2 linked regions of the Zea mays genome follow. The protein of the gene in region 2 binds, or shares a complex with, the protein of the main gene of each other region. Links are inferred from orthologs where the notes say so. Each region holds a gene or a part of one and is shown on either strand. Other genes may lie near its edges.

Region 1 (6,260 bases), on a different chromosome or scaffold from region 2:
ACACAATTCCGATCCATAGATTCCTAGATCGTGTCAAGGAGAGACAACCAGGGACTAGGACAAGATCAACACATGCACATGCAATTGGAACGTCTACGGATTAAGCCAAACCAAAGCCGAGGTAACCATGCAATAATGTCATCCATACCAACGCAATGGATATTGTGGTGCACCTTGCGTGGACCTAAACGCGGTGGCACACATCTAAGGTCGATATGATTCAAAGTGGACTCGTGCTGGTCCAACCCCAGAGAATCGTGCCGTGATTGGACCGTCTTCTTGATCCACAATGCCGGCCCATCCTGACACGATTGGATTTTTATTTTCAAATTATTACTTTACATATATATTTATATTTTTCCTTCATTTGTATAGCACGAACAAACAATAGCATGACTAGTTACGAAGACATTCACACTTTTTTTTGAAAACCGGAAAGAGGATTGCTTGTTATATTAAAAAGGAGATGAGCGCATACAAGGGCTAGAGTACGCAAGTCCACCACACTAGGAAATGAGACTAATTATGGTGGCACAAATGTCCCATGTCAACCTCCCCCCCTCCCCAAAACATACAACAGGCTTGCTAGGGATTTACTCCTTAATCATCGCTATAGTCTGTGACACGGTCTTTTTCTAGTAGAGATTATTGTGAATCTAGACCACCACGACTTTTTCTACATAAACAATTATGATTGTGTATCTAGACATAATTTGGAAAATATCAAAACAATTTATAATTTGGATCAAAGGGAGTACATGCACTAGCTGAAATTAAAATGCAAACAACTGATTTTTTATAGGAAGCAAACAATTGAATTAATAGAAGCTTACATACATAAGTTCACTGACTATATCTTACTATCCAAATACTGTAAAATCATAGCGTTCCCCCCTGCTCACGTGCCACGGAAGTTGAAAGGATGGAAAGGCTGTGATTCAAGAAGGTGAGTGCAGATTCGCAGTCTGAAATAATCTTGGTCACAGATGAAGGCTCATTAGAAGCCGACAGTGAACCAGCAGCCATTGCAGTGTATGAATCTCGGAGGCTCCTCAGATTTCCCAAGAACTGCAAAGTCAGGTATAAATAACCAGGTCAAAAAGCATGTTTCGTAGGTTAGAAACAGGCACCCAAAAGACAGAACACAATGCACTATCCAATTGGAGAGAACATGGAATGAAGGATCCTGAGAAGATGCCCACTAAAGGTAAAGTGATATGGTATTGAGTGTCATACAATTTCAAGACATGGTATTTCAAGAGATATCGTATTGTAAAGATATGGTGCTCAATGCTCAGTAACTGCACAGAAGCTGTAGTTATCAAAGCAGGTTAAATTAGTTCTCAACTTCCAGCAGAAACACATTCTGTTTTATTCCTGTTGGTTACACTGTCATTGGGTTAAGCTTGTCACAGTCTGCAGGTCAGTGATAGTAAAGTATCAAGAAATGAACAACATGACCAATCAGTGAAGTGGACATTCCAAAATTACCTTTAAAAGGGTATTATATGCCTCCAAGAGGCGATTAGCAGCTGGACCGAAGCCATGCAATTGTGGCACTTCCATCATGTGGGTCCAAGGATGGATTTCCTATATTATGACAATTTAAATCACCTTTAGTATAGAATTGTTCAGCACTTAAAATTAATAATCAGCAACAGAAAATATGCTAAGGATACCTATCCAGTGTATATAAAAAAGATATGGGGAAAACAGGAATTGCTGCATAAGGTAGTCACCTTAGTATATATTGTGTTGAAGGATTTAACCGTTTCCAAAAATGATTGCAAGTATTCCCTCAACTTCAACTCTGTCTCCGCATAGTCTTCATTTGGATTATAATCATACTGTCACAAGCAACTACGAAGTTAACTTAAAATAGCATGATACTGACTACTAAGGGAAGAGCAACAAACAATATCATATACACACAAAAAATTAGAGCATGGTGTACCGGAAAGTTATTGATTATAAAACTAAGTTAAATGATCATATGCTTTGAAAGATAACATACAACTGTGAAAATATCAACAAAAAACTTTAGCATGCAGGTTGGGGTGTGAAGCAACAAACAAGAGGTCGCAGTTAGCTCTGCCTTTGATAATTAATTAGCAGCCTTTATAAATTTCAAAATGTAGAAAACTGTAAAGCTAGTGCAGAAAAAGTCTGTCCAAGTTTCCGTTCATACATAAACCATCATTAATTTGGGGGAAGTGGTGCTGAACTTAAAACATAAGTACAGTTGTATATTCTATTATACCTTCGATGCTAACTCCTGAACCATTTGCTGCAGATTAGACATCTTTTTGGTATACTCCGAGAGCTTTAACTCTAGTTCAGCAATATCAGGCCTACAAAATGAGAATTGAATTCAAATTAGAAAATTTGAGGTGATTTGAGCAATTTTGTTAGTTGAGGATCACAGGGCGTCAACAAAGATTCAGACCAACAGAGCAATTCTGTAGGCACATGAAGCACCTAAACAGTACATTTGGCAAGTATTTAAATTGGAAGTACTTACAAGGGGTAAATTGATTGTATTTGAACATCCGCAGGGAAAAGCTTGCACTCCTCTGAAAAAATTTGGGCTTGTTTCTCAGCAATTGAATCTACTAGTTGCACATCCTTCTCCAATTGCTTATCAACACTACAACGGTACAAATTGTTCTCAGTACTTTATGTTAGGTACCCTCCTCATATGCAAATTATCACAATACTTTTTCTTTGTAAACAGATTTCATTTGGCATCATGTATTACGATGTTGGAAGAAAGTTTTATCACAAGCTTCCCAAGTTTTATGTATAATCAACATAGTAGGTACATTTCATTTCAGATAAAAATAATTGTGTGTAAACCCGACCTCCATTCTGGATTGTCAGCGTAGCAACTAGCTTCCACTAGGTCAACAATAAGATGGAGCAGTTCCACCCGCTCCTCATAGCTACCTCGACCCTGCAACAACGACAGTTATGAACTGATGAAAGATGGCACGCCATACATCTCAGTTTGCATTTGTGCTGTGCTAGACATCTTGGTATCTTGCATGGCAATAGCAGCATAAAATCCAGCAAATTTAACACATAACACATATAGGCCAGCCATTTCTCTCACCTGAATCGCCTCGGTGTCCGCCGAAGGTGTGATGCCCAAGAAGTTGGCTATCTCCGCCAGGTCTGCAGAACCACACGCCATGGTCAGCACCACGCGCGATCCCGGGAAAGGAAAGCATTTTAGCCTAATGATGAAACCAAAACGTTACGTTGGATCCTGTTGTTCTCCTCGTCGCGGTCCAGGCTATCCCCTTGCCAGTTCTGCTGCGTGAAGGGCGATCTGTCGCCTAGGAGCCTCCGGAACGCGCACACACCAAACGAGCAGACCGTCAGTTCCTAGCCCGAATCCCAAAATCGAAGGCCAAACCCAGCAGAGAGATCACAGCTCCCAGAAAGCAGGAGAAGCGGAGAGGAAAGGAAATGCGGCGCGTACCGGAAGAAGAGCCACTCGAGGAGGCGGTAGCGCTCGACGCCGGCGAAGAGGAGGGATTGCGCGGGGGCGTTCGCCCGCGGGTACTCCAGCAGGGATAGCTTCCGCTGGATCTCCTCCATCTGCTTCGACGCCATGGTTGCTCTCTGCTCCGCTCCGCCGCGGCGGCCGGCCGTTGGTGGGGATGGTGGGTATTGGGCTGACGGCGACTGACCAACGAGCTAGATGGTAACGAGATGTGTTTGATAGTTCCCCAAATTTTAATTTTCCTACCGATCCCTTTCAAAATTCGACGAAAGGGTCGTCGCATACTCGCATGCGTTTAGTTGCAAATCAGGATTGATTCATAAGGAGCCCGCTAATTGGGCTAAAATTCATAACTATCGGCTAGAAGGCCCAAGGCCTGCAGTGAGACCAAGTATCCGCAAATGGGCCTCAAAGCCCCACTAGCTCTCACTCGCCTCCCCCAGCCAGAAGGCGCATCCAAACCCTACCCAGCGCCCAACATATAAATTACGTGCTCCCTCTTCGCCGCCGTCTCTCGCGCCGCCACTTCCCTCCCGACCCACTATCCCAAAACCGTAGCGCCCTCGCCTGCTCGCCGCCGCCGTCGTTGCGAGCTCCCCATCTTCCTCCGTCAACCATGGCGACCCAGATCAGCAAGAAGAAGAAGGTACGCGAGCTCCTCCTAAACGTAGCGCTACCAGCCCTTCTCCCCCCTGCGTCGATGGATCTGACCTGTGCTCTTGTCCGTAGTTCGTCAGCGACGGCGTGTTCTACGCCGAGCTCAATGAGATGCTGACGCGGGAGCTCGCGGAGGACGGCTACTCCGGCGTGGAGGTGCGCGTCACACCGATGCGCACGGAGATCATCATCCGCGCCACGCGCACGCAGAACGTGCTCGGCGAGAAGGGCCGCAGGATCAGGGAGCTCACGTCTGTCGTCCAGAAGAGGTTCAACTTCCCCGAGAACGGCGTCGAGCTCTACGCCGAGAAGGTCGTCAACCGCGGCCTCTGCGCCATCGCGCAGGCTGAGTCCCTCCGCTACAAGCTCCTCGGAGGCCTTGCCGTCCGGAGGTATAACTTGATAAGACCCTACTCCCTACCAGCTAGCTGTGTGATTTGCTGATTTTGATGTGCTTGCTACTACTTATAATTTGTATATTCTTGTTCGTTGAATTGTATTTAAGTGGTAACTATAGCATCGAAAAATTAGGAATACCTTGCCTACACTACCCAAAATTTGGAATTATTAGGAGATCATAACCTATAATTTGCTTATAATCTATTTAGAAGAATTTTGAGTTGCTTAAAACTTCCAAGTTGAGACGTTAGTCATTGGTTAGAATGCTTGCACCTGTGATTATATGTTCTGCCTTCAGTTCTTGTTGGTTAGATATTGTACTGGTGCAGAAAGGAAATGCTGCTCCTTGAGGCAGTGGCGGCCAGACAACCGTTGAGACAGATCCACAGATAAATGACTAATATCCTGTTTGTCTACTAAATCTGTCTCACATTTCTTCAGTCCCATTGACCTAATAGCATAGCAACTTCATTGACCTTAATAGTCCTTTACAGTAGTTGTGCCCACTGCATGCAAATTTATCGTGTATCAAATACATTTTTCATTTTTGGCACCTATATTTATATTTACCTGCCATCTTTTATGGTAGTGGGGCTTAAGATGGTGCATAGAGGAAATGCTGCTCTTGTAGTAGCGGCGGCCAGACAACCGCTGAGAGATAGATCCACAGATGAACAATCTTTCTGCTGTTTGTCTACTAATTCTATCTCACATTCTTGACATGAATGGTACTCATAGGCTCATTAATTTTCTTCTATGTGCCGCCTTTCTATCCATCGTATCAATTTATGCCTTTGCTAATATATTTTCTTGTTTGGATGATAAAGTGTCATTGTTCGTTGGGCGTATCATTAATTCTTGTGTTAAAAAATGCTACCTAAGGTTGTTACCCTGTCCAGTATTACAGTTAGTCTAGTTCTCCTTACTAACATGCTTGTTTTGTCGGCAGGGCCTGCTATGGTGTTCTTCGCTTTGTTATGGAGAGTGGTGCCAAGGGTTGTGAGGTTAGTGCTCCTGTGCACTATGAGGGTCTGTTCATTTTCTGATGATTGGTGAATGCATGTCGACAGCCTTATTTGTTCTAATACAGGTCATTGTGAGTGGAAAGCTCAGGGCTCAAAGAGCCAAGTCCATGAAGTTCAAGGATGGCTACATGATCTCATCTGGTCAGCCAGTGAATGAGTACATCGACTCAGCTGTGAGACACGTCCTCCTCAGACAGGTTTGTTTTGCTACAATTGCCCGTTGTAATGTCTGTTTGTCTCTGGGTAAGCACTTCATTTTCGACGTTCCAAATGTAATTTCTCAACAAACATCTTTTTCTGTCGTGCAGGGTGTTCTGGGTATCAAGGTGAAGATCATGCTTGACTGGGACCCGAAGGGCAAGGTTGGCCCGATCACCCCTCTTCCGGACCTGGTGACCATCCATACCCCGAAGGAGGAGGACGAGCTGCGCCCTCCTGTCTTGGCAGCTGAGGTCTAAGGTCCCAACAGCGTCCTCGAAATGGCAGTTTGATCTGGTCCTAGCTAGGTTTGTATCTTATGATAAGGGCAGTGCTAAGACAGTTCGTTCCGTGTCACTTCTGTTTAAAATTAAGTTTTGCCGAGACAAGCTATATGTACCGGATGAAAGTGTGGTTCCTTATTGTATGCTCTGGAATTTTATTTTTGGTATGTTTATTTTTTGCCTTAGTTC
Region 2 (6,260 bases):
CGCTCGAGCGCCGGACAGTTGGCGACAAGGCCCCGGAGCGCCTCGTCGGTGACGTCGACGTGGCTGAGGGAGAGCGAGCGGAGGCCGGCGAGACCCACCGCGGGGAGCGGAATGGCGCGGAGGCTGAACCGACCGAGCGCCAGCCGCTCCAGTGAGTTCCTGGCCTGGAACAGATCGGCGGGGAGCTCCAAGAGCGGCGCCTCGTGACCGGCGTGCGGGACCTCCTCCTCCTCGCCCTCCTCCTCCTCCTCCTCCGGTAGCGGCGGTGCCAAATCCACTTCGACCGCCCTGGCGCCCCTCCGCAGGCCAGCCGCGATCCACCCGATGACGTCTTGCCCGTCCAGATCTGATGGGCAAACCAACGCCACGCATGAGTCTGCTGACCGGTTGGGTGAAGGCAGCCGATGGGGAGGAGTTGGAGGACGACAGTGCGCTGCAGGCCGCCGATGGGGAGGTGGAGTCCGACGGTGCGGTGGGGGAGGAGGTGGAATGCGATGATGGGGTGGAGGAGAGGGAGGGGAGGCCGCCGGAGTTGAGCGCAGTGGAGGAAGCGCGCGAGCCCGTGGCTGGAGCCGCCGGCGGAGATTAGGTCGCGGCCGTCGCTGGAGATTAGGTCGCACGGTAGGCTGCACGCTGGACAGTGGGCTGCACGATGGGATGGGCCTCAGATCTACACAAAAATTATTGGGCCGCACGAACCGCTGCCACATGTGTGTGCCATCTATTTTATTAGTGCCACATTGGCCATTGAGAGTAATGGAACATGGCTTATAAGGGCAGCTGTGGATTCTATGTTGCTCACTAAGAGAGATGGGACGGAACGTTGAGAGAGATGGAACGGAACAGAATGTAGCACATAAACTTGTGCATGTATTGTTTATTTTGTTGCGCGGGACTAACGGAGACAGAACAGCCGTTGGCAGAACGCGTCAGAGGCAGAACACGTCAGAGGCAGACTACTATTGCTTACTTAATAAGTAGTAGAGATATTGATTCCGTAGCAACGCACGAGCTTACACCTAGTCAAATATATATAAGATTAAGAATATAACACAACATTACATTACCTAACATTTAAAATACATATTTAGAATTATATGGCTAAGCCTATGTTAAATCTACAATTAAATCTACAAAATTGTGGTAGTGCTGGTCTGTCTTCTGAACCCGTGATTTGAGACTATCTCGATCCCTATAAAATTAGTGTAAAAACAAAGAATCTTCTGTAGTAATTTAGAAACGTATCATGTGCAAATCTACTTTTTAGTGTAAACCGTGCAAACAAGTGTTTTTTTAAATAACTCCTACTGTGCATTAGCTTCAAAACTTGCGCCAACGTGTTGTTTTGCACTTGATATATTCCAGTAATTTTTTTTGTTAATCACCACTTCCCACTAATGACTGAAAACTACTTTAGAGCCACGGTGGCCTAGATCTATTTTTAACCGGATTGTTTGTGTAATTTATATAAATTTTGATTAGTTGAAACGATTCTAAATGCATTTATGTATAATCGAACATGGGCACATGCCTTACTAAGATCAAACGCTATCGATAATTCGTCGTTTTCTGTTTCAGCATTGTATTGTTTTTTTACCTCAGTTCTCACACGACTACACGAGTGACACCAGCTGGCTTTCACAAGCTTCTCTTGCATTGAAACCATCCGGCCGGCCGCGATCTGACCCGTCCATTTGCCGATCCAACGGCCACCAACCCACCACCACCACCTCACGAGCCCAACCAAATTCAAACCAACGCTACCGTGCAACCAAACCAACCAACCCCATTCCTCCGCCGGCCGCCGGCAGCCGCCCGCGATGTCGAAGGCCGCGGCAGCGTCCCTCCCGCCGCCGCCGCCAGAGGTGGCGCACCTTGTGGAGCAGCTCCAGCGCCACCACCTCGCCCCGGACGCGTCCCTCCTCTCCAGCTCCGCGCACTCCGACCTCCTCCAGGTACGCCCGCCCGCCGCGCCCGCCACCCTCCTCACCCTACCGGCCTACCGCTGCTCACCTGATCCCTGTGCCGGCGCAGGCGCGCGAGGAGGTCGCGGCGGAGCGCGCGCTGTACCTCGAGGCACTGGTGAGTCCCGACTCCCCGCCCGCCTCGTCGGATCCGCATTTTAGGTTTTGCTCGCCGGGTTCTCATCAGATCCGGCGCTGTGCCGTAGGCGGTGTACGCGGAGGCGGTGGCCATGGTGGAGGAGTACCATGCGGCTGCCGGCGCCGGCAAGAAGCTCAACTGCTCCCCGCAGGTTCTGCTCCTCTGTGACGAGTCCTCATTTTAAATTGACTGGTGCAATTGTGCAAATATATCTTCAAATGTGAGTTGGGTGGGCAGTACTAGCTGAACAATAGACCGTGGAATTCCGCACGGTTGGTCAATGGGAATTCCTCATCGTTGGTTCAATTGACTTAGCACCATGTTCGGGAAACTGTCCAGCAAAAATTACATTCTGATTCAGTCGCTGAGCTTTGTCGGTTCTGAACTTCTGATCCAGGTGTACGAGTCTTTGGAGCACCGGTTGGCCGTGGCAGAGGCAGCACAGAGGCTTAGGCTCCCACTGCTCTCTCAGGACGGGGAGGTCCATGAGCAGGAGATCGAAAAGCTGAGCACCTATTCAAGAAGTTCATTCGATAGCACCCTCACAAGCGCGACACCCAGCTCAAGTTCAATCTCGACGAGTTACAACAATTATAGCAGCAGCGCTAGTGCGGTGACTGTTGCTGCTCCACATTGGAGTGGTAGTTCTGATGCAGTTGAACCTGGAGTTGGTGGTGTTCCTGACCGTTTTCTTGGGATCACTTCTGATTATCTCTACCAAGTGCAACAAGAGCAGCCAGCCATGTCTGTTGTAAGAACATTTTTTCGTGCCTAAATGGTCAATTCAAACCTTGTTACTTTTTTTATGTGGTTAACGTAATTCTGGTATATACCTTTAGAAGTGCAAAACTATTCTGTAACCAATTTTAGACTATGTTGCGTTTTATCCTTTTTGTCAATGAGTGAAAGAATAAATAAAATCTTCACCTGAACTTTGAAAGCATCTGCTTTTGTGTTGATTACAGGACATGGTTGATTATCAGAGAACTTTGGCTAGGGAGATTGAAGCCCGGTTAGAAGCCAAGTGTGATGCTTTGGCTGATCTATTTGCTATGGATGAAAGGGGTCAGTTACTGAAACTAGTGGAAGATTAGGAGAGAGGGATGGAGCAGTCCAAATTCTGGTTCTGGTTATTATTCTGTCTTACCTTAACATCTTTGCTGCAGATTCGTCATCCCTCAGTCAAATTTCAAGTGCTAGGCTTCCAGAAAGGTAGACTTTCTTATCTTACATTTTACATCACACTGTACCAATCACCTATTTAATATTAATACCATCTCACCGTCCCTTCTTTGCTGCAATCCCATCCATTTACATAGCCAACATATCTTGGCATGAGTGCCCAATTTTCCATGGAATTGGAAACTCATGTGGAGCTTGTGATATGATGAAGTTGGACAGGCGTCCCTGATAAGTATTCCTCATTTTTTTTACTTCCCATTTGACAGGGTAAAATTAATCATCGAAGAGATAGAGAAGGAAGAGGCACATCTCCTGGAGGACCTTGCTTCAATGGACAGAAAATTTGCTGAACATTATAATGTATGTTTGTATGCCTTTACTAATGCCTATTTTTTCAGAGGTGCACTGACTTTACCTTGGCACAAATTCTTTCTCGCACCTCTAAGTAATTAGCTATGGTTCTGAAAATTCCAAAGGTCTTGGAGCAAATTCTTGCTGTGCTTATACAGTTTGTTAAAGACAAGAAATTGGAGCATCAGCACCAATTTGTAAGCATTCTCATATTCTGTTCTCTGGTTGAACTTCTTCAAAGTAAACATGTCACATTTTCATACTGTTAGTATTATTAGTCGAAGTGTTTAACATGTCTCATTGTCTAACAGGATGATCTGAAGAAGACCTGGCTTATCAAAAGGTGTCGGACAATGAATGCTAAACTAAGGTTGGTACTCGCAACAGTGATCATATTATAAGTGTACAACAGTTGTTACTCTATACAACAGTTCTCTCTCTATATATTTTGAATTCCCTGTGCTAAGGGATTTGAAGATTAGGTTAACTATATATATATATATATATTACTTTGATTCCAGCTATCTGGAGCATCATCTATTGCGTGACACTTACACCAAGGACACAGTACCAGCACTGCACAGGATCAGGTATAGTTAAGGCAATCGATCTTGTAGTGGATATACTTTTTTAGTCATGTTGCACTTGTTATTCATAAGATGGATTTGATTTGTTAGGTGCCTTTGGTTTTCAGCGAAGGACCTTCTTGTAACATATTAACTGCTTTTGCAGGAAGTATCTTGTAGAGGCCACAAAAGAAGCATCCAATTCTTATAATGAAGCGGTAAGATACATGATTTTGCTTCTTGAAATATTTCCAATGTCTGGTTGTATGAACAGCCAAGAAAAAGCTCTCAAATTGGTGGCTACAACTCACGAAGAGTAGAACTGTACAAATCTTAAGAGCCAATGCCTAGCAGCTACTTTTTAGTGAAAAAACAACTAACTGATACCTTGAGGCTGTATGAAGTAGTTAGCATCAAGTTATAATTAATCATTTATGACTAAGCAAAGTCCTGCTTAGGAAGGTTAAATGTGCAAACATGTGACAACCTATGATTTTAATGTTAACCTGCTGCAGTAGGCAATTTAACCTGATGTAGAGTTTATTCCAGTTGCATAAACAATAACCAGACATATGGTATTCTGTATTTTTTCATTTTTAACTACATGTCTGGAGAAAGAACGGTGCCATACTGCCATCTCAAGGAATATTCCGTCTGAAAAGAACTCATGGAACCCAATGTTCCGCCAGCTAACTGTTTGCTCTGATGATTGTTCTTGGTGTCAGGTTTCGCGGTTGCGTGAGTACCAGGGTGTAGATCCACGGTTCGATGTGATTGCGAGGCAGTACCACGAGATTGTAAAGGTAATCTGGCTCAGTGTTGCTGCCACTAGTTTACCGTATGTTTTTACTTGCTAAGTTGCTAACCCTGGTCGAGCTTCATCAGAAACTGGAGGGCATGCAGTGGACAATTCACCAGGTGGAGATGGACCTGAAACCTCACCATGACCACGCAGCTGTTTAAGTCCACATCTGTTGGAGGCCATGTTTATTACCTGAATGCAGCGGGTGCGAGTTAGGGGGGTTGCAGTGGATTTGATTTGAGTCAGAGGGTTTCTGTTTGTGCATGTTTTTTTTTGTGTATATCCATGTTGGATAATAGCACCATCAATGCTTGCTTAGTTATACGGTCATGTATTCGGTTTGTTTGATGACGAGAAACACTAGAAGAGAGCGAGACATGGAAAACACCAGAACAATTATCATTGTACTACGCATCCACTGCCATGTCATACAAAACAAGGCAAGTCTAGATGACTTTTATTAGGAATCCTAATGGCTATAATGGAACGTAGTAGCCGAGAAGAAGGCTTCGTCCGGAGGCATCTGTTTTGCCAGGAAGTGATTACCTGCTCAAGTGTCATTATATTTCTATTATAACATTTCTAAACTAGTGATGATAATAAATAAGGTCGAAGCAAGTACATTATGCTAAACAACAACGGAGATGTTAAGCCAGGTTACTATAGCAATTACGTCTGGCTAATTTACTAGCAATGATAATGTACATGGTAATTTCCATATACAAACGTATTCAAGCATTTCTAAAACTACAGCTAGAGGCCTGCACACTTATATATACAGATATAAAAGGTGCAGAAGATGGATGCATCTGATAGACATCCATCACACATACACATCTTAGTTTCCAGTACAATCAAGATGGTGAGGACAAATGTAACAATGAAGATGCAGAAGAAGATCCTAGTTCTGCTAATGCTCATCATCCTTGCTGCCTCTCGTAAGTCGCTCATTCTATCATACCTGCAGCCTGCAGGGTCCCTGTAAAAACTGTTTATGTAGCCATTAACAAATGGATGATATGGACATGTTGCAGAGGAGGTAGAGGTGGGCGCCGAGGATTCATGCGTTCAAGGGAATCCATTCCCAAAGTGCTTCGTAAGCTGCTTGCGTCCAGGTGCTTGTGACAACTGTTGCAAGGATAGGGGCTACACCAGTGGCAAGTGCGTGCTACTTGGCTGCATTTGCTGCAAATAAAGACGTGGGGTTTTAGTTTCCATGCACAGCATGAAAAGAAAAAAAAATAGTGTAAGATTTA

Evidence for each region. Proteins that work in one complex are often made in the same cells at the same time.
Region 1: AUGMIN subunit 4 (region 2) and AUGMIN subunit 7 share a complex: the UniProt entries of both Arabidopsis thaliana proteins name them as parts of the augmin complex. The link is inferred for Zea mays from reciprocal best matches to the Arabidopsis thaliana genes AUG4 and AUG7.

Annotation. Positions count from the first base shown.
Region 1 is NC_050099.1:32,961,678-32,967,937, forward strand, and holds AUGMIN subunit 7, read right to left. Parts: upstream 3,680-6,260; 5' UTR 3,619-3,679; coding exon 3,485-3,618; intron 3,347-3,484; coding exon 3,261-3,346; intron 3,175-3,260; coding exon 3,113-3,174; intron 2,954-3,112; coding exon 2,862-2,953; intron 2,648-2,861; coding exon 2,522-2,647; intron 2,352-2,521; coding exon 2,261-2,351; intron 1,848-2,260; coding exon 1,740-1,847; intron 1,591-1,739; coding exon 1,492-1,590; intron 1,069-1,491; coding exon 880-1,068; 3' UTR 695-879; downstream 1-694. Other genes in the region: 40S ribosomal protein S3-3, read left to right, coding at 4,125-4,154, 4,238-4,557, 5,514-5,568, 5,655-5,786, 5,898-6,047. UniProt on the Arabidopsis thaliana protein: Contributes to the assembly of the acentrosomal spindle and phragmoplast microtubule arrays as part of the augmin complex. Regulates the association of gamma-tubulin with the spindle and phragmoplast microtubules.
Region 2 is NC_050100.1:72,637,747-72,644,006, reverse strand, and holds AUGMIN subunit 4, read left to right. Parts: upstream 1-1,757; 5' UTR 1,758-1,820; coding exon 1,821-1,955; intron 1,956-2,034; coding exon 2,035-2,082; intron 2,083-2,170; coding exon 2,171-2,254; intron 2,255-2,500; coding exon 2,501-2,854; intron 2,855-3,068; coding exon 3,069-3,168; intron 3,169-3,269; coding exon 3,270-3,315; intron 3,316-3,551; coding exon 3,552-3,645; intron 3,646-3,761; coding exon 3,762-3,833; intron 3,834-3,947; coding exon 3,948-4,006; intron 4,007-4,157; coding exon 4,158-4,226; intron 4,227-4,368; coding exon 4,369-4,420; intron 4,421-4,927; coding exon 4,928-5,005; intron 5,006-5,087; coding exon 5,088-5,165; 3' UTR 5,166-5,469; downstream 5,470-6,260. UniProt on the Arabidopsis thaliana protein: Involved in microtubules reorganization during spindle and phragmoplast development.